2 linked regions of the Anolis sagrei genome follow. The protein of the gene in region 1 purifies or fractionates together with the protein of each later gene. This does not show direct contact. Links are inferred from orthologs where the notes say so. Each region holds a gene or a part of one and is shown in the gene's direction. Other genes may lie near its edges.

Region 1 (10,114 bases):
CATAGTAATTTTACCTACTCCTAGACTATACTATAAATCCTATAACATGATAAAATTAATCCAAAGCAACTAACTCAAGTATCACTGTGAACTGATACTTAAATATATGAAAGTCATACAGCTATAAAACTGGACTCAAGAAAATTGGCAGCAATTTTAAGTTTAATTTAAACTGTTTAAATCAATGCTTTAGAATTATGAACTACAAAAAGAATACATTTCATTTTCTCCATGTTCCACAACAGTGTTTCAATTTTGAAACATAAATAATAACCCAGTCCTGTAAAACTACACAAATACAGATATGTTCTTCTTAAGAAAATACCATCTTCCCCTTTCCTTTGGGAAACCGTATCCAGGGTTGAGTCATGCCTCTTAACATTTTGCAGTCTTTTTTTGTTCAGAGCAAGCCCAACCTGTCTGATTTTGGAAGCTAAGCAGCATCAGCTCTGGTGAGTGCTTGGATGAAAGAATGCCAAATGTGGGTTATATTTCAGAGGAAGCAACTGGTAAAACCACTTCTGGTGCGTTAGAAAAACCTATGAAGTTGATGAAATTGCCATGGGTTGGCAGGTTACTTGAAGGCACATGTTCCAAGTCACACATACTTGGTGGTTTATTACTCAATTAGTGGCAACTGCATGAGTGAACAGAATGGTATTTCTTCTGAGTTAATTACAGACAATATGAAAACTCTCCTTTGGAATTTGATCTCTTGATGGTTATTTCAGACATGCAAGTCACAATGATGCTATGAACACAGAGCAACTTTGTGTGTCCCTATGTGTGTAACAGTACAGGGGAAGAATTGACCAGAACTGTGTGCAGGGATAAGTCAAAATACTGGCATAAAGATGGGGTCATTATTGGAGTGGGTAACTGTAGGTCCAGGGGGCCACATTTCTTTATTTCCGGGTCCCTCTGGAGGTATATGGACTGCAAAATAAAAAAGAGGGGAAGGAAAGAGGGGAACAGGAAATAAAAACAAAACAGATTTGAGAGTGGCAGAAAACTTTTTTTTTGTATTCTTGCCTCTGATCTGGCCAAGCAATAATCCCAAAGGTCCTTCTGAAGAAGCAAATTCATAGAAACTGTTGTAATTTCTATATAAATTTGTAGTGTGTACGTTTCTGTCCAGGGCAAATGCATCTTTGCTTTAGTGTTAAAGAATCTTTTCAAAAGGTAAATCACTGCCCCTGGATGTTTCAGAAGAAGCAATTAAGCCCTCCCCCTTTGCTAGAAAATGATAGCCTGGAGGAGTCCAAGGTAGTGCTGGGACAAAAATAGCCCATAAGCACTACGATCCTATGCACATCTACCCAGAAATAGCCAGATTAATAAATACAAAATAATAGTCTTAATTTTAAATACTAATCTACACTGTCAAGCAGCTAAATAGGAGCTAGAAAACGGCAGATGGGACAATTTCACTCAAGAAAGCCTACTGGCTTCGAAGTGCAAATACCTCTATCATGGTACCATAATATTTCTTGCTGCATTTGGATTACACATAACTATGAGTAGCTGTGACCACCACAGTGTAATTCACTGCCAACTTTGACTCTGAATTCTTTTGTGCTCTATCATTTGCCTCATGCTTGATTTTATTTATAGATGAGTGCTGGGTTTCCTTACAGAGAGCTTACTGAACATTAATCACTAACAGTGTGAAAAAATAACTTAATATTTCTATAATTTATAGATAAAGACAAAAATTGCTTAGAGGATATTAAGGTCTTTTAACAGCGCATTGGAGGCCCTCTTTCCTTATAACAGCTCCAACTCCAAATCACAAGAGAACCTTTAAAATCCCACAAAATGGATTGTGGTCATTGCTAGCAGCTTTAGTTATGACACTTCTGTGATGAGACAGAATAGTGACTGAAAGGTGAGATATAGCTTAAACACAGATCACAAAATAAATTGTAAACAATATTATAATGTTGAGGTCTTCTTAATTTTGAAGCACCTTATATTCAACAACACCAGATTTGGGTCACCTTTTTCCTACCATGGAAGCTAAGGCAGTGTTCAAAGAGGCTAAAATATAAATATACCGTATATACTCGAGTATAATCCAACCCGAATATAAGCCGAGGCACCTAATTTTACCACAAAAAACTGGGAAAACATATTGACTCGGGTATAAGCCAAGGGTGGGAAATGCAACCACTACAGGTAAATTTCAAAGTAAAAACAGATACCAATAAAATTACATTAATTGAGGCATCAGAAGGTGAAATGTTTTTTAATATTTACATAAAACTGTAATTTGAGATAAGACTGCCCAATTCTGATTAAATCATTACATATCTTCAATGTAAATGTACTTACGTATCCTTCCAACAATAATAAAGAGAGTGAAATAATAAATATAATAATAATTATAATAATAAAGTAAAATAATGGAAATGCAATAATAACAGTAGTAATAGAGTAGAATAATAAATGTAATAATAGAGTAAAATAATAAATGCAATAATAATAAAGTAAAATAATAAATGTAGTAATAATAATAGGGTAAAATACTGTAAATGTAATAATAATACAGTAGAATAATACATGAAATAAAAATAATGCTAATAGCAGAGTAAAATAATAAATAACCTTGACTCAAGTATAAGCCGAGGGGAGCTTTTTCAGCCTAAAAAAAGGGCTGAAAAGCTAGGCTTATACTCGAGTATATACAGTAATTGCAATATTTAATTCTAGTTTATACATTGATTTCAAGACTGTGGCCTTAAATGTCTAATTACCTTAAGCAAAATTTCTTTTGAGACTTCCTTATGCTCAATAATTTAAAGCAGGAAAGGACACTTTACCATAGTCCATTTGTTAAAGAACCATTTGTTAAAGAAAACCTACTTTTAAGTGCTCTTTCTGTGAAAATATAAAGTGCAACATATATATAGTTTGTTTATCAAGCTTTTCCTTTTAAGAAACAGAGCCAGCCTGTAAAGAGGACTGAGTAATTTGTGAAAGGCCAAAGAAGGCATGTTCCCTGAAGCTCTAACTCTGCTTTAAACAACTCCACAATGGAGTTTCTACAGATGGAGTTTCCAAAGCTACCCTCGAGGGATTACTCAGAAAGCCCTGCCTCCTTATTCAGTGAGAGGTTAGCCTCGCTTAATTTAATCTCATATTCATAGTAGTAATTTGATACCAGTAGCTGGCTGCCTGTACTTGTTTCTATTTGCTGCCTTGCTGCTTTTGGTGACAGTGTAATAATAACAACAGCAGTGGTAGAATCAATCTGCTTCATGTCCTGGGGGAGAGAATAAGTGTACAGTACATGTGGTGAGAGAAGTGGCCTTCTTGTCCATCCAAGAAGTCAGTTACAGACATGTGAGGAATGCAATTGGAATGCCAAGAATCTTTTACTGGCATAACCCAGCATCAGGGAAACCATTTTAAGTGAACGAAAGGGGCAATAAACAGTAGCTTCCCCTGAAAGATGATGAACTGCAAGTGAAATTACTATAAGCAAGAGACTTTAGAAGGGAATTGGACTGAAGCATGGAAAGTAGATGTCTGCAGTCATTTAAATACTTACTAACAGTGCAAAAATTATTTTCAACAGCCCATCGTTTCTTCCATTTCTCTATCTTTTGAATGATAACAGGTCATATTTAGTGTGTTCCTGGGTATAATGCCAGTTCAAACATTTAAGAGGCACTGATAACTGAAATACCAGCAATGTTCCACTTTTCTGCAAAGGTTAACATCTGACATAGGCCTTCTTCATGTGGGGAATGTACTCTGCACATGCCCAGATAATGTACATCTACTTCTCATGTTTCAGGCAGTTCCTTTGTCAAGTAAAGTCCTCTTTACAGCTTCCAGAAGCTGTGAGAGTGTGAGTGATTTTACACTATAGAGTTTCATGTCAAGTTGACTTGATTTTTTGAAAAGGGCAGCAAGAAAATGGCAAAGAGTCAGAGATGCAAATCCTGTACTATCGTGTTCAGATTTCATATCGATGTCTGCAGTGTGGAGGATAATGGCTAATGTGTACTGAACTATCAAGGAGCATTTTGAACACTTTGAAACACTTCACAAGTGTAAAACATTAGCAGGTTGAGTAACTCTTATCTAGAATTCTGAAATCTTCCAAAATTCAGAAATGACAATGACATTTTTGGCTTTCTGAGGGTTCAATGTACACTTCGCACAAAATCATTTTTTTTAATTGCCTACAGAGTATATGTACAAGGTGCACATGAAACATTAACACATTTGTGTTTAGTCTTGAATCTCCAAAAGAGCTCATTATATATGCACAAATATAAATATAGCAGTTCTAAAAATATGAAATCAGAATACTTCTGGTCCTAAACATTTTATATATTACCCAGTCAATTTTAAACCATGTCTTTATAGGTGTTTTGGACTTCAAACTCCCACAATTCCTAACAGCTGGTATTTCTTTCTTCTACCAGCTGTTAGGAATTGTGGGAGTTGAAGTCCAAAACACCTGGAGGGCTGAAGTTTGCCCATGCCTTATCTACACTGTAGAAATATATTATTATTATTATTATTAAACTTTATTTGTACACCGCTAGCATCTCCCGAAGGACTCGATGCGGCTTACAAAGGCCAAGGCCTCAACACACAATACAACAATACAAAACCTAGGCAAATTAAAAACAATTAAAGCAATCTAAACAACAAGCAATGAACAATCCACTAAGACAAAATAAAACTGGGCCGGGCCAGAGTAAGGGTACAAGAGTTAAAAGTGCTGATGTGACAGGTGGAATATGAGGCTTATGGGCAAGTCCAGTGTGCGGCGGTCTTAGCTTTAATAAAATGCTTATGGGACTTGGTATTGGAGGTTTCCTATTCGGGGAAGGCACATCGGAACAGCCGTCTTCAAGTTCTTTCTGAAGACTGCCAATGTAGGGGCCTGTCTAAGATCTTTGGGGAGGGTGTTCCAGAGTCGGGGGGCCACCACGGAAAAGGCCCTGTCTCGTGTCCCCACCAAACGCGCTTGCGACGCAGGTGGGATCATGAGCAGGGCCTCTCCAGATGAACGAAGAGAGCGCGTGGGTTCGTAGACAGAGATATTCTGCATTATATGGTCATATATTTATTTTTATTATATATATATATATATATATATAATATTGTATTATATATATATATATAAAATTAATATATACTATGTATTCTATAATATATTATATTATATTCTGCATTATATGGTCAGCTGTTAGTCCAAAACACCTGGAGGGCCAAGTTTGCCCATGCCTGCTATAAAGGCTAGCTTTGTCCCTTTTTTTACCTCATAGGGGAACAGGTGAGAGGCCGAGGAAAATGAGATTGAAAAGAAAACAAACCCGCCCAAGAAGAGTGAGCGAGCCAACCTCTCCCTCTTTTTCTCTCTTCAGCTTCCCTCAGACACGGTCGCGCATGCGCACGCACGCTTCCCTCAGACACTCGCGCACCTGGGCCGAAGTTTGCCCATACCTACATTATATGGTCAGCTGTTAGTCCAAAACACCTGGACTATGACTGCGATAAAGGCTAGCTGTGCCCCTTTTTTACCTCATAGAGGAACAGGTGAGAGGCCGAGGAAAAGAATGACATTGGAAAGAAAACAAACCCGCCCAAGAAGAGCGAGCGAGCGAACAAACCTCTCCCCCTTTCTCTCTCCTCAGCTTTCCTCAGACACGGTCGCGCATGCGCACGCACACTTCCCTCAGACACTCGCGCACCTAGCCTCGGCTTCCCTCGGACACCCTCGCGCACGCGCACGCCCGCGTTCCTCGCCCCGGCTTCCCTCAGACTCCCTCGCGCATGCGCACGCCGGCGGTCCTCGCCTCGGCTTCCCTCAGACGCACTCTCTCGCGCAGGCGCATATCACGCCGACTCCGGAGCAAGGCGGGTGCTCTTTCCCAGCATGCCTTGCTAGCCTCCTCTCCTCCTCCCCCCTCCCCACCGTGTGGGTGGGTGAGTGAGTGAGCGAGCTGAGAATGATGGAGCGGAGGCTGTAATGGCGGCCGGCGGCGGCAGAAGCAGCGGCTCGCCTTGGGCGCTGCTCTGACGCGCGGCTCTCACCCAAACCCAGTCCCCGGCTCTTTCCTGGCAGACTGCGCCTCTGAAGGAACAAGCGAGGCGGAAGGGAAAGGGGGGAAAGGAGCGGGAGGGAGGACAATGGACGAGCACCCCGGCGCCGGCGGAGGGACCATGCCCAGGGCCCCTCAGCAACAGCAGCAGCAGCCTTTGCCTCCCGCGGCGGGAAATGCCAACTCTCCGCTGCTCGGCCCTGGCTGCGCGGGGCCTGGAGGGGGCTTGCCGCCTCAGCAGCAACAGCAGCAGCCACCTCAAGGCCCGGCGCCGCCTCAGGAAGCGGTGGGCCCCGGCGGAGGAGGGGGAGGAGGGTCGGAGCTGTCCCGGCCTCAACACTACACCATCCCGGGGATCCTGCACTACATCCAGCACGAGTGGGCCCGCTTCGAGATGGAGCGCGCTCACTGGGAAGTGGAGAGGGCCGAGCTCCAGGTAAGGAAGGAAGGAAGGAAAGGGGAAGGGGGCATGCTCTCGGGGCGTGACGTGGGGGCACTACAGCTAACGTGTGTGTGTATGTTGCGGCGGGGCGTGGCGGGGCGTCGTCGCCGTCACTCGGCACAGTCCCCCCTGCCTGCCTTCCTTTCCCGGGGCAGCCATTTTGGTTGCTTCGCATGGCGCCCGCCGGGGCCCGGGCCTGTCAAAGGAGCCCCCGTCCAAGAAGTGAAGGCCTCTCGTTCCCGCTTCTCCTCTCGGTTCTTCCTCGGCCTCCAAACCTGAGGCACACCACATCCTCCCCCCCCCCCCTCCCCGGAGCCGCTCTTTCTGACCATTTGTTGTCCGGAAATGGACGAACCTTTCCGAGGCCTTTCGCGGCCTAGCGGCTCCATCGAATGCCGCTCCAAACCTGTCATCCCGACAGGAGGAATTTAATGTATGGTGAAGGCTTTCATGGCCGGAATCACTGGGTCGTTGTAGGTTTTTTCGGGCTATATGGCCATCTTCTAGAGCAGTGATTCTCATTCTGGGGTCCCCAGATGTTTTTGGCCTTTAAAAGGCATTTATCAGGCATGGGCAAACTTTGGTCCTCCATTTGTTTTGGACTTTAACTCCCACAATTCCTAACAGCCAATGTGGTGGAGGCTCCTTCTTTGGAAGCTTTTAAACAGAGGCTGGATGGCCATCTGTCAGGGGTGATTTGAATGCAATATTCCTGCTTCTTGGCAGGGGGTTGGACTGGATGGCCCATGAGGTCTCTTCCAACTCTTTGATTCTATGATTCAACTCCCAGAAATCCTAACAGCCAGTCAACTGGCTGGGATTTCTGGGAGTTGTAGGCCAAAAACATCTGGGGACCCCAGGTTGAGAACCACAGTTCTAGAGGCATTCTCTCCTGACGTTTTGCCTGAATCTATGGCAAGCATCTTCACTACCTCTGAGGATGCTTGCCATAGATGCAGGCGAAACGTCAGGAGAGAATACCTCTAGAACATGGCCATATAGCCCGAAAAAACCAACAACAACCCAAGAGGAATTTGTTCATAAATGACAGCGCAGATGGGTGCCAAAGTGCATTGATTCCACAGCACTGATTCCAAAAATCAGCAGGAAGGAAATACGTGCTCTAACCGCATTCTCAAACGGTGACACTGACTGACTAACCCCATTGTACACTGCTCAGAATCCAGTTTGAAACTGCATTATATGGTCAGTGTAAGCTCATTCAATGTAGCCTACGCTGACCTTATGATGCCATTTGAAACTGCATTATATGGTCAGTGTAGACTCATACACTGACCATACCATGCAGGTATGGGCAAACATCTCCCACAGTTGGCTGTTAGGAATTGTGGTAGTTAAAGTCCAAAACAAATGGAGGACCAAAGTTTGCCCATGCCTGATAAATGCCTTTTGAAACTGCATTCTATGGTCAGTTTAACTTCATTCAATGCAGCCTACACTTACCATGTAATACCATTTGAAACTTCATTGTATGGTCAGTGTAACTTCATTTAATGTGATCTACACTGACCATATAATGCCATTTGAAACTGCATTATATGGTCAGTGTAAGTTCATTCAATGCAGCCTACACTAACCATATAATACCACTTGAAACTTCATTGTATGGTCAGTGTAACTTCATTTAATGCAGCCTACACTGACCATATATTGCCATTTGAAGCTGCATGATATGGTCAATGTAGGCTCATGCCATGCAGCCTAAACCGACCACTTAATGCAGGCATGGACAAACGTTGACCCTCCAAGTGTTTTGGATTTCAACTCCAACAATTGCTATCAGCCAGTAGGCTGTTAAGATTTGTGGAAGTTAAAGTCCAAACACCTGGAGGACCGAAGTTTGCCCATGACTGATATAATGCCACTTGAAACTGCATTATATGGTCAGTATAAGTTCATTCATTGCAGCCTACACTGACCATATAATGCCATTTGAAACTGCATTATATAGTCAGTGTAGGCTCATATAATGCAGCCTACACTGACCATATAATGCAGTTTCATACTGCATAATGCAGTTTTACACTGATTGTATAATATTGTTTGAAATGACATGCTATGGTCAGTGTAGTCTGCATTGTATGAGCCTACACTGACCATATAATGCAGCTTCAAACGGCATTCTCTGCAGCGCAGATGGGGCCAGTGTCACCGTTGGAGAGAGTGCATCCATCATCACTCAGAGCACATATTTCCTTCCTCCTTGCTATTATTTCTGAATAATGGCAAATGGTAGATTTGTGTGAAGTCCAAAGGAGTGGATCAATTACAAATTAAATGGGATACGATTATTTCTGAAAGTGCATCTACACTGTGGGATCAATGCAGTTTGATACCCATTTCAGCTGCCAGGGTTCAATGGCATGGGATCATGGGAGTTATGATTTTAAAAGGCCTATAGCCTTCTCTGTCAAAGAGTGCTATCTCATCAAACTACATGTCCCCGATTCCATAGTGGTGCCCAACTGCATTAATTCTACAGGGTAGATGGACCCTAAGAGATCTATCTACACTGCTGAATTATAGTCTTGTAAAGTGCCATAGTGCCTTTCCAAGGATTCTTGGGAGTTGTAGTTTTCCAGTGACATCAGAGTGCACTGACTGAGAAAGATATAGATCTCATAAAACTGCAAATCCCAGAATTCTATAGCATTGAGTGACAGCAGATAATGTGATGTCAAACTGCTATAATTCTGCAGTGTATTGACAACCTCAGAGAAAGTCCTATCCCCCCCCCCCATGCAAGAAAATGGACATGGCTACAGAATAGAAGAAAACAAGTTGAGTGGCCCATATCCAGAATCCAAAATATTCCCAAAGTGTCCGCATCAGTGACTGAGATAGTGGTATTTATTTTCTTATGATTCAGTGTACACAAACTTTTGTTTCATGCACAAAAATATTATAATATTATATAAAACTTGCTTCAGGCTGTGCTTTATAAGATTTCATGTTGAGGTTTGGGTTCCATGTCTGAGATATTTCATTATGTACGTGTTTGCTAACATAGGTATCCTAAAATCCAAAACGCTTATGGTCCCAAGCATAAAAGTTAATCAATATGTGCTGACTGGGTCAGATAGTTGGTCCTTCTCCCCAACTAAACTCCTGCTTAAAGGGGCTCTTCATGCTTTCAGACAGTATTCTCTCTTAGGTATACCTAAAGTTCCCATGCATTATTTGTGGTTCTCTTCAAGTATTCATCAAGCCAAACCCTGTTTAGCTTCCAATATCAGTGAAAATTGCAAGTCCTCAGGAAGATGTATATTTCTTATGTGATCAGCAGAGATATCCGTGAAGGGTGGGTTGATAAATGGGATGAAATGTGGATTCCTTTAATCCCAGACTGAGAGTTTTCTGCTGTTCACAAACTAGGTGGTAAATCTGGATTTGTCACTTTTCTTTTTTAAAGGTCTTGCGTCATTTCGACAGTTGTCATTAATTAAGCATGTTGTCTAATATGCAAATGATAATTAAAATGGATGCATAGATGTAAATATGCATGCATTTTTATCACTAAATCTGGAAGTAGTAGACTTTAAGTATCAAGCTGGGCTGATTTTTGAAAGGTGTTCAGTAATGA
Region 2 (10,585 bases), on another chromosome or scaffold:
CCATGTCCTTCTTTTTAATTTTCCTGGTTTGCTGATTCATTTCTGCTAAAAATGGCAGAAATGCTTATGCCCAAGGTATTGGTGTAGGGAAAATGGTCTTTGGGTTTGTTTGTACTGGGAGTGTGCTCTGCACCAGTATTTTCTTAAAATATAAATTTCTGTTTTTAATATGCTGAGGGGCCCAGTCAATATGAAGTCAATAAGAATGACCAACTTTCTTTTTTATTTTGCAAAATCACACATTTAAGTACATTGTATGACTAAACACATTGTATGATCTTCCCCTTTTTGTGGGCATTGGCCTACCCTAGTTTTCAATATTTTTTAAAAAATTATCATGGTTTTTCATTTCCAAATAATTTTGCACTATTGCATGTGTTTACTAAGACAAAATTAGCAAGGCTTCTAACAGAAGTGGAGAACTTGGGTATTACATTTGACCTCAGAAATGAGCTACACATGAGCTACATCTCAAGATTATCTTGTCATCTTGTATTCTTTTTCTCCTATTTTTAAAGTTCTTTAAAACATGTACTGGATTTTTATACAGTGTGCTGAAGGTCAAAAGTTTGTTGGTGCAGTTGCAGAATTTCTGGAAATAAGTATGTATGTATAGGAAGCTTGCCATTTATTTTTAGACCAGTGAGAAAAGATGAAATAAAATATAAAATGGGTGTTGGGGCAGATTTAGTGTAAGAATGAACAGGTTGTACAAAATTAATCTTCTTGGCCTGGAACTTTTCTTGTTTCTTGTTTCTTCCACTGCAGTGCAGGTTACTATTTAAATTAGTACAGTAGTCTTTGACATTATGGATTGATAATTAAGTGGACTCAGCCCAAGCAGTGTTGCATGTGATCTCATAATGGTACGTATGTGGATTTTGATAAGATTTAGATTCTGATTCCTGGATCCATTTAGGTATTTAAATCAGTTTATTCCCTTCTCTAGTAAATGAATTTCTTGTAACTTTTCTAAGAAAAAATTGAAGTAAATACTCTCCCCATTACATTTAAAAAAATCATGGAACTCTGAATTCAGATTCAGATAATATTGCCTGAACAAACATTTTGACATTTTTTTTCCTATCTTCCCATCATTAGTACTAACCAATCATTTTTTTCTTTAATATCATTAGTATAATCACGTTCTAGGTTTTTATTTTCCTCTGCAAACAACAGTGTTTTCCCATCTGATATCTTCATAATAACACTAAGATCTTCACGAAGTGCTTGAAATATTAGTTTACACTTCTCACTATTGACTAACCCATAAAAACAATAGAATTTCTTCAGCTTTTACTGCTTATGAAACAATATCTTTTACAGTGCTGTCTTTTGCAGCTAGTCACTCCAGTTCTTGCAAACACCACTCAAAATATTTTGATTTTAAAGTATTGTAATTTGTTCCTGGTGTATGTTTCAAGGTACACGTGTCCTTCAAAATAACTTTTACATACTTACCCAATCCTAAAACACTAAATAACGTTAAAATGTCCATTTTAACTTTTTAAAAACAATGTGTGGAATGACCCTAGATATTAATCGTCTTAATATTGTTCTTGAGTCAAGATGCTTTTTGGAGGTTCTGCTGAACTACAGCATCAGTAGGATTCTGAAACCATAAGTAGAAGGAAGTTCAGGGACCAGGGCTTTCCCGTACTCTTCCCCTTCTGTTTCTGAAGATTAGTGGAATGCTATGGGATTGCTAGGCAGAATGCTGCTTGGAGGAGGTCCTTATATGACTTGAGCTCTTCATGTTCATGGTGCTTCTCCTCAGTCTGGGCCACTCCACCTTTCTGCCAGCAAGCATGTCTCTTGCAGCCTCCATTGTCCAGAAGGATCCCATCTTGTTGTGAGGGGAAGGACAGGATGTGGACATTTCCTTTCCAGGGTTCCACCCTCTTAATAGGTTGCAACCGAGAATTGACTCTAGGATAGTATTTTGTGTGAGAGAATGAGAATGAAATTTAATGTTTGACAACATTGCTTTTTCGTGTTCATGAACAATTGAATTTTACAATGAAAGTTTTAAACTATAATTTCAAAGGGCATTGAAAACATTATTAGCATTTTTTTAGGTTGGCATAGTACATACTTGGTAAAGTACATGCTTTCTGCTATGTTAATTAAAAGTACTTTTATGTATAAAATGAAATGTATAGCTGTCATTATGAATGAGATTGTCTGTTTTTTAAAAAGGCTGTCTTCCCGAGTGTTGATAAAGGGTTTGCCATGAGAGATCTTGCCATAAAGTTTGTAATCTGGGGCTAGACCTGATTGACAGTTTAGGACCAGATTACATAGATACCATAGATACTTTACATATACATGCCTTAAGGCCTTTTGGAATAGTTTGACAACCAGCCTAATGTGTGACAGCCAGTCACAAGGACAGCTACATTTAAATTTGCTTCATATTGGAATTTGTAGTATTGCCCTCAGCCCCTCTGCATCTCTAAACATAAGTTTGCAGTGTAAAAGTGAAGTAAAGATGATAAATAGTCCTTTGTCACAAAATTTTCCCTGCTTCCTTCTTCCATTCCTGCAAAGAGTTGTTTAAACATTCTCCCACATAACTTACATTCTGTTCACCGAAAGCATCATGTTTGCCTCAGATTAAGTGACGTGTCTAACTTTCACATATGGCCTGAACATACGGTACTATTAAAAACCTGAAAGTTTAAAATTCCTATTTGTGTTTAAAGTTGAAATTACTATTTGAATTTTGATTTTATTGGTGCATTGAAGTTTGGAGTACTGTGTGTAAAATGATTGGGTTTGAAAACGGAGAGGGTCCTTCACTCAGGAATTTATGTACTTCGCATTTTACTTAGCAATGGATGCCAACAACCTGAATGCCCTGTTAATTTTCAATGCAATACACACACTTTGTATTAAAAATAATATATGGTACTAATTCTGTGTTTCCCCCTGATGATTGCCAAACCCTGGATGCAAGCTGTCTTGTTTCTAAGACATTGATTGCTACTGAATGTATAGGAAATGCTTCCACTTTTGTAAAAGAAAATAGTGTTTGTATGATGTACCGATATGGCATGTCTCAGCCAGCAAGTATGGTGCCTTGTTTCTTTAGTTTTTAGACATGACATTTCATTCCATTATAGTCTCACCTATGTCTTCAGAACCACTGTGAGATTAGATAAGAAAATAATGTTTCAGAATTTGCAGTACAACTGATCTAAAGTCTTAGCATGAAAATGGACAGTATAGTCCTATAATCACCAGTGTGCCACAAATGAGTTTCTTAAATGCCTAACTATACATTTCTATAAAAAGCCAAAACGGTGTCTGTATGTTACTTTTGTCATTACATTGTAAAATACTGTAAAGCTGTTGTTGTATGTCCTAATTTTGCATTTTAAAATGTTTTCCTATGTAAAGGCATCAATATAGCAACTTTGTATAAAAGTAGCTTTCTAGAGTTTTATTTTATTAAAAAAAAGTCTAAAGAGTTGCCAAAATATTCCTGAGCAGTTTGCAAACTGTTTTAAACCCCCACCTTCCCCACAATTGTTCTTTTCAAACATTCCAGCCTTCCCTTTAAGAGAGTAACATTTATTCTACAGCTAATATATTTTCTTTTTCATCCTCCATATGCTACCACTTAATTTTGGCTTGCTTTTACATTGAGCTTACCCAATGTCCATTTTAAAATGTATTCTGTATTATTGACAACCTTGTCCCCTCACCAGTGCCAGCTCCATAAGAACTGTAGCATGGCAATAAAATATCTGATTTTTACTATGTAAGAGTGTCTTTTGTTCCTTTGGTGTTGGGGTGGGGTTATATTTTTCCTTATGTCCAAATGATTATTATTGTGCATGCTACAATATTAACTGTGATGGCCGAGATGCTAAAGGTATAGTAAATAAAATGTATGATCTACTTTGCCCAGATCTAATACCCAGGAATTTTAAAGATATTTTTACCACCAACTTAACCATTCATATTTTAAGTTTGGTCTTGATTGAACAGATCTTTTTTTTTTTTTTTGGTGTCTTGGTTTTTTAGTTTCTAGGGTAATTTTGGGCTCTGATTTAGAATGTTGCATTGGATAGATCACATCAGCTCTAGTTTTGTTGATAAGCTATCCACTTATTTGACATCCATGGATTCAGTCCATTCACAGCTTGAAAATGTCCCCCTCCCAAATAAAATCCCAAAGGAAAGTTTTGATTGTGCCATTTTATATAAGAGATACAATTTTACTGCACCATTGAATATAATGGGACTTTAGTCTCCATTAATTATGGTATCGGGTCTTAAAACCATAATCCAGCAGATACCAAGGTCTCATTGTAGTTTAAGCTGAGGATATACAAAGACTGGGCTAGGATGGGAGTTAGCAACTGAAAGCCACTAGAAGTTTTTATTTGTTGGCTTACAATTTCTATGATCTCTAATCAACATAGCCCATGGGGGTGGATTATTGCCTACCAATCTTGAGTTAAAGTGTATGAGAGAGAAAAATGGTGCCTTAGCAATATAAGAGCATTGGACTTGCTGTTTGGCTTCCAACCTAATCTCCTTAACTATGCCTCTGGTCAATGGGTACATCTACACTTTAAACATGCTGTTGGAGACCACTTTGAACTGTCACAGCTCTGTGCTACGCAGTCGTGAAAGTTGTGGTGTTACAAGGTTTTGTGTCTCACCAAACTACAACTTCCATGATTTCATAGCATTGAGCCATCACAATGAAAGTGCTTTAAACCTAAGCGTTGATGCACCTTTAGTTCCTTATTTTAAAAGCACATTAATGTCTTATGCTATGGATCTCCTTCCATGGGTTCTGGTGCCATGTAGCTGTGATGTTAAAGTACAAGTCAACAAGTCAACACTTAAGATATGACAGTTTTTCTCCAACATATTAGGGAGCAGCAGTATATTTGTATGGTGCCCCCAGTGGCGCAGTGGGTTAAACCACTGAGCTGCTGAACTTGCTAACTGAAAGGTCGGTGGTTTGAATCCACAGGATGGGGTGAGCTCCCGTTAGCCCCAGCTTCTGCCAACCTAGTAGTTCAAAAACGTGCAAATGTGAGTACACCAATAGGTATTGCTTCAGCGCTCCATGCAGTCATGTTGGCCACATGACCTTGGAGGTGTTTATGGACAATGCCAGCTCTTCGGCTTAGGAATGGAGGTGAGCACCACCACCTAGAGTCGGACATGACTAGACTTAATATCGGGGAAAACCTTTACTTTTATTATATTTGTGCTCAATGTTTTCTTTTTCCCCTAGAAACACTCCAGGGACTGGCAGCAGATGGCTCAGCAACTGGCCCTTGTCCATGGACTGCCATTCTGCCTAGTGATGCAATAAGTGATGTGTATTTATTTAACATTTCTATGCTGCCCTCCTCACCCCAAAGGGGACTCAGAGCAGCTTACAAGATATATATACATACAATATATTATATTATTAGCATAGTACAATATCAGTACTAAATATTACTATATTGTACTATACCATTATATTGTAATATTATTAGTAATATTACATGTAATATAAATATATAATTATAACATTATTATTATTATTAGTATTATATTGCATTACATTATAATATAAATATTATATGTATATACAATATATTATTTTAGGTAAAGGTAAAGGTTGTTCCCTGACATTAAGTCCAGTCATGTGTGACTCTGGGGTGTGGTGCTCATCTCCATTTCTAAGCTGAAGAGCCGGTGTTGTCTGTAGACACCTCCAAGGTCATGTGGCCGGCATGACTGCATGGAGCGCCATTACCTTCCCGCCAGAGTGGTACCTATTGATCTACTCACATTTGCATGTTCTCGAACTGCTAGGTTGGCAGAAGCTAGGGCTGACAGCGGAAGCTCATGCCGCTTGCCGGAATTGAACCTGTGGCCTTTTGGTTAACAAGCTCAGCAGCTCAGTGCTTTAACCCACTACGCCACCGGGGCTCCCAATATTATATTATTGGGAGTTGATGTTGTCATTTGGGAGTTGTAGTTGCTGGGATTTATAGTTCACCTACAATCAAAGAGCATTTCGAACTACACCAACAGTGGAATTGAACTAATCTCGGCACACAGAACTCCCATGACCAACAGAAAATACTGGAAGGGTTTGGTAGGCATTGACTTTTGAGTTTTGGAGTTGTAGTTCACCTACATCCAGAGAGCACCGTGGACTCAAACAATGATGGATCTGGACTAAACTTGGCATGGATACTCAATATGCCGAAATGTGAACACTGGTGAAGTTTGGGGGAAAATAGATCTTGACATTTGGGCATTGAAGTTGCTGGGATTTATAGTTCACCTACAATCAAAGGGAATTCAGAACTCCACCAATGATAGAATTGGGCCAAACTTCCAATAGAGAACCCCATGACCAACAGAAAATACTGTGTTTTCTGATGATCTTTGGTGACCCATTTGACACCCCCCCCCCGTGTCCCGACCCCAAGGTTGAGAAACGCTGCCCTAGTTGATGGAAGAAGGGGACTACAACTCCCGGCATGCAACGCTCCTTCCTGCTTCCCTCCGCCGAGACGTCATTTCCGGCATCCGTTGTCTCCGCTCGTTGAGTGCGGGCACGCGGCCGCTCAGAACGTTGGAGTAACGGCCTTCCACGCTTCGCCGTCGCCATGGTGAGTCCCGGGCCTTCCTGCCTTCCTCGCTGCGTGGCGGCAGGGAGAGGGCGCGCCCGCTCGTCCCTTCGTTCTTTCCTTCGGAAGGGGCTCAGCAGGAAGGAGGCAGGGAGGGCCGAAGGTTCTAGAAGGGTCTAAAGGGAGGAGGAAGGAGCCAGGAGCCGGTCCCGCTCTACTCCTCGCGTGCCTCTCCAAAAATGAGGGGCTCTCGCGCGCTGGGAAACAAGGCAAGGCTCTCCTGTGGGCCTTGCCCTTCCTTTCTTCCAGTCCCTCCCTCGCTTCCCCCTTCCTCACCCGAGACAAAGGCAGGCGCCGCTCCTGTGGTTTGGCTTAGTAGCATATAGGCCCGAAGCCTGAGATGGTCTCCCTTTCATCTGTAATGACTGTGTGCCCAGCACACTCAAATCCTCACATTGTCCACGCCCGGTTCTTCCCGGATTAAGGCCTGTTACACCAGGCATGGGCGAACATGGGCCCTCCAGGTGTTTTGGACCAACGCCCACCATTCCTGACATTCTCAGGCCTTTTTATATATATATATATATATATATATATATATATATATATATATATTTACTGTATTTGTATTCCGCCTTTCTCAGCCTGTAGACGACTCAAGGCGGTCAACAGGGCAAAAATTCAATGCTTACATTGTTATAAATACAATTAAAAGCATATAATAAAAACTAAACAAATCAATACAATATACATTCATAGTGTCTCCTTGTTAAAAACGTTGTCCGGACTCATTGTCCAGTCGTTCCATTTTCCTATGTCAGTTACTCTGCATTTGCAAATGCTTGTTCAAAAAGCCACGTCTTGACTTTTTCCGGAAAGTTAAAAGGGAGGTGGCCGATCTAATATCTATAGGGAGGGTGTTCCACAGCTGAGGGGCCACCACCAAGAAGGCCCTGTCTCTCATCTCACTTAGTGGCTGAGGGGGAAAAGGAAATGACCTGAGGTGTTAGGAATGGTGGGAGCTGAAGTCCAAAAACTATAGCTAAATGTGCTACAGCAGTGGTTCTCAACCTGTGGGTCCCCAGATGTTTGGCCTTCAACTCCCAGAAAACTTCACAGCTGGTAAACTGGCTGGGATTTCTAGGAGTTGTAGGCCAAAACATCTGGGGATCCACAGGTTGAGAACAACTGTGCTACAGGATCTCCCACCAGAACAAAGTTTTTGCAGTTTAATCTATTTTTCCATGTTTTAATGTTAGACACCATAAGAAAACATAATAATAAGCTTTATTTATATCCCACCCGGAGCCCCTAGTGGCACAGTGGGTTAAACTATTGAGCTGCTAAACTTGCTGACCAAAAGGTTGGCGGTTCAAATCCTAGGAGTGGGATGAGCTCCTGCTGTTAGCCCCAGTTTCTGCCAACCTAGTAGTTCAAAAATATGCAGCTGTGAGTGGATCAACAGGTACCGCTTCTGCTAGAAGGTAACGGCACTCCATGCAGTTATGCTGGCCACATGACCTTGGAGGCATCTACGGACAATGTCGGCTCTTCATAGATTTAACGTCAAGGAGTAACCTTTACCTTTTATTTCCTACTCCCTCCCTGGAGGGACTTAAAGTGGTTTACAACAAAACAAACAAATACAATATATATTATAACACAACCAATATTCACATATCAGTTAATAAAACAGTATAAAACAATACTATAAACATAAATAAAAACAATTTAAAAGACTATGAGACCTTCTAAAACTAGTGTGTAAGGCCATTTAAAACCAGTCATTCCTATGATCTAAGTATCCGGGCTATAAATTATAGTTCTAATAACCATTAAAATCCTGTCCAATAGGGTGGTAGATACTTTTAGAAATGACATTTATAACCCAGGAACAAAAATAATGTAACATAATGTTTTTGTTGTTGTTAGGGTATATACACCCAGGTATGCATTTTCTTTATGGCTCTTTCTTTCTTTCCTTTCTTTCCTTCATACACTCTTCTCTCTTTTCTTCCAGTCTTTCATTTATCTCTTACTTTTCCTCATACACTTTTCTTCTTCCCTCCCTCTTCCATTCTTTCTTTCTCTGTCCCTCCCCTCTTACCTTTCCCCTATCCTTTCTCAACTTTCCTCAATCCTTTTCCTTTCCCCCCTTCATTTCCTTCTCCTTTCCCTTCCTTTTTCCGCCTTCGTTCTTTCGCCTCATACACATGCCACCTAGCAACAGCCAAGCTGTTGTGCTCCCTTTCTTTCCCAGTCACGTCATAGAGGGCCACTTCACCTAGCCACACCCAGTCAGCTCTGTTGCTTTTCTTTCCCGCAGACTTGGGCCTGAAAGGGGTGGCTTTGTTACTTCAGACCCCTCAATTATCTTAAGTTGGATCATGAAGTGTACATATGCCAAGTTTGGTCCAGATCCATCATGCCATGAGGAGCCTTTGGAGTACGAACAAAACAACAAACATACATACAGATACTGACTTATATGTGAGATAATACTATATTTATCTGTAGCTCTGTGATTTTTTATCGCTGTTATTTAGACACAAAGTGGCTCACAACAATGGGAAAGCAATACAATTTAATATCTCCAGCATGTAAATATTAAAATAGATTGAAACATACATCACTCATAACATTAAAAAAACAGTTAAATACTAAAAGTACTACACAGCACCTTCGTGGTTTATTCTTCGCAACTCTTCCTGTTTATATCAAATGCACACTCCATTCTGACTCCAGTTGAGGGTCTCTTAATGGGAAAGCCAAACTGCTCCAAAATTGTTTCCATAAGTGGTTGATATAGTGACATCTTTGCTTTCTGATGGTTCAGTGTACACAGAATCCATCTTGTGCACCACATTGGGCCCCATATCCAGAACTAATGACACAATCTCAATTTCCCAGGGCGAAATGCCATGGAATCTTGGGATGTGCAGTTTGGAGATGCACCAACACTCTTTGGAAGAGAAAGCCTTGAAAAAGTACAACTCCCAGAATTCAGTAATATTGAGCCAGGGCAGTTAAAGAGGTGAACTATATTAAGTGTAGATATACCCCAAGATATTGCATTATGTATCTGCAGATATTCCAAAATTCAAAACACTTCATATCCCAATCATTTTCAAGAAGGAAGACTCAACCCACAATACAGAAATGTATATCCTGCAGATTTCAATCTCCCTGTTTCCTGTTGCCACTTTATACTTTAAAAGTTTGGGAGCTATAGAAGGGCTATATCCAGGAGGCCTGTTCAGTCTGTTCTTTGTCTTCCTCTTTCTGTCTGAAGTAGCATTACTGGGAAACATAGGAAAAAAAGATTTTTTTATTTTATATTAGCTGAGGTAAAATTCCCAAGGTTGGAGAAGCAAGATCCATGTTATCTGCTAAATAGAGGCTTGTATTTAGACCCAATCTTGAGACCATGGATGCATCTGCACTGTGCAGTTAATGCAGTTTGATACCACTTTAGCTTCCATGGTTCAGTGCTATAGAATTAGTTTTACAAGGTCTCTAGCCTTCTCTATGAAAAGCTCCTGGTGCCTCACCAAACTGAAAAAGACTCCAGGATATTGAGCCATGGTGGTTGAAATGATGTCAAATTGCATTAATTCACAGTATATGTGAAGTCAGTCCTAATTCCATTTGTAATGCAACTTTCCTCTGCATAGTTCACTCTGAAAGACTCAGAATACCATATATAACTATGATAGCAAATAAGTGGCAAAATAGAATTATTTTATGTACGCAAAACTTAAAAATAGGTTGACATCCTATCCTTCAACCTAACAAGTTTAATTGAAATGTTAAATTGTAACTATGAGGTTAGATTCCACAAATATCATTTATCAAAAAATAATGTTGTAAAATGCAGTGTGTGGAATGACTGTAAGGGCAATTCTAAGATACTGGAGGTTCCCCTTCCGTATTTTAGAAAACTATTTTGGAAGGATAGGAAAAACTTCAGAGCAGATGCTTGG

The links.
Region 2: the proteins of STRN3 (region 1) and CCT2 purify together in Homo sapiens (affinity purification with mass spectrometry; 3 studies listed by BioGRID and IntAct, with this or other methods). This does not show direct contact. The link is inferred for Anolis sagrei from reciprocal best matches to the Homo sapiens genes STRN3 and CCT2.

Annotation. Positions count from the first base shown.
Region 1 is NC_090021.1:298,717,984-298,728,097, reverse strand, and holds the start of STRN3 (striatin-3), read left to right. Parts: upstream 1-5,920; 5' UTR 5,921-6,156; coding exon 6,157-6,504; intron 6,505-10,114. Other genes in the region: AP4S1 (AP-4 complex subunit sigma-1), read right to left, coding at 5,548-5,552. UniProt on the Homo sapiens protein: Calmodulin-binding scaffolding protein which is the center of the striatin-interacting phosphatase and kinase (STRIPAK) complexes.
Region 2 is NC_090025.1:143,350,508-143,361,092, forward strand, and holds the start of CCT2 (T-complex protein 1 subunit beta), read left to right. Parts: upstream 1-6,537; 5' UTR 6,538-6,641; coding exon 6,642-6,644; intron 6,645-10,585. UniProt on the Homo sapiens protein: Component of the chaperonin-containing T-complex (TRiC), a molecular chaperone complex that assists the folding of actin, tubulin and other proteins upon ATP hydrolysis.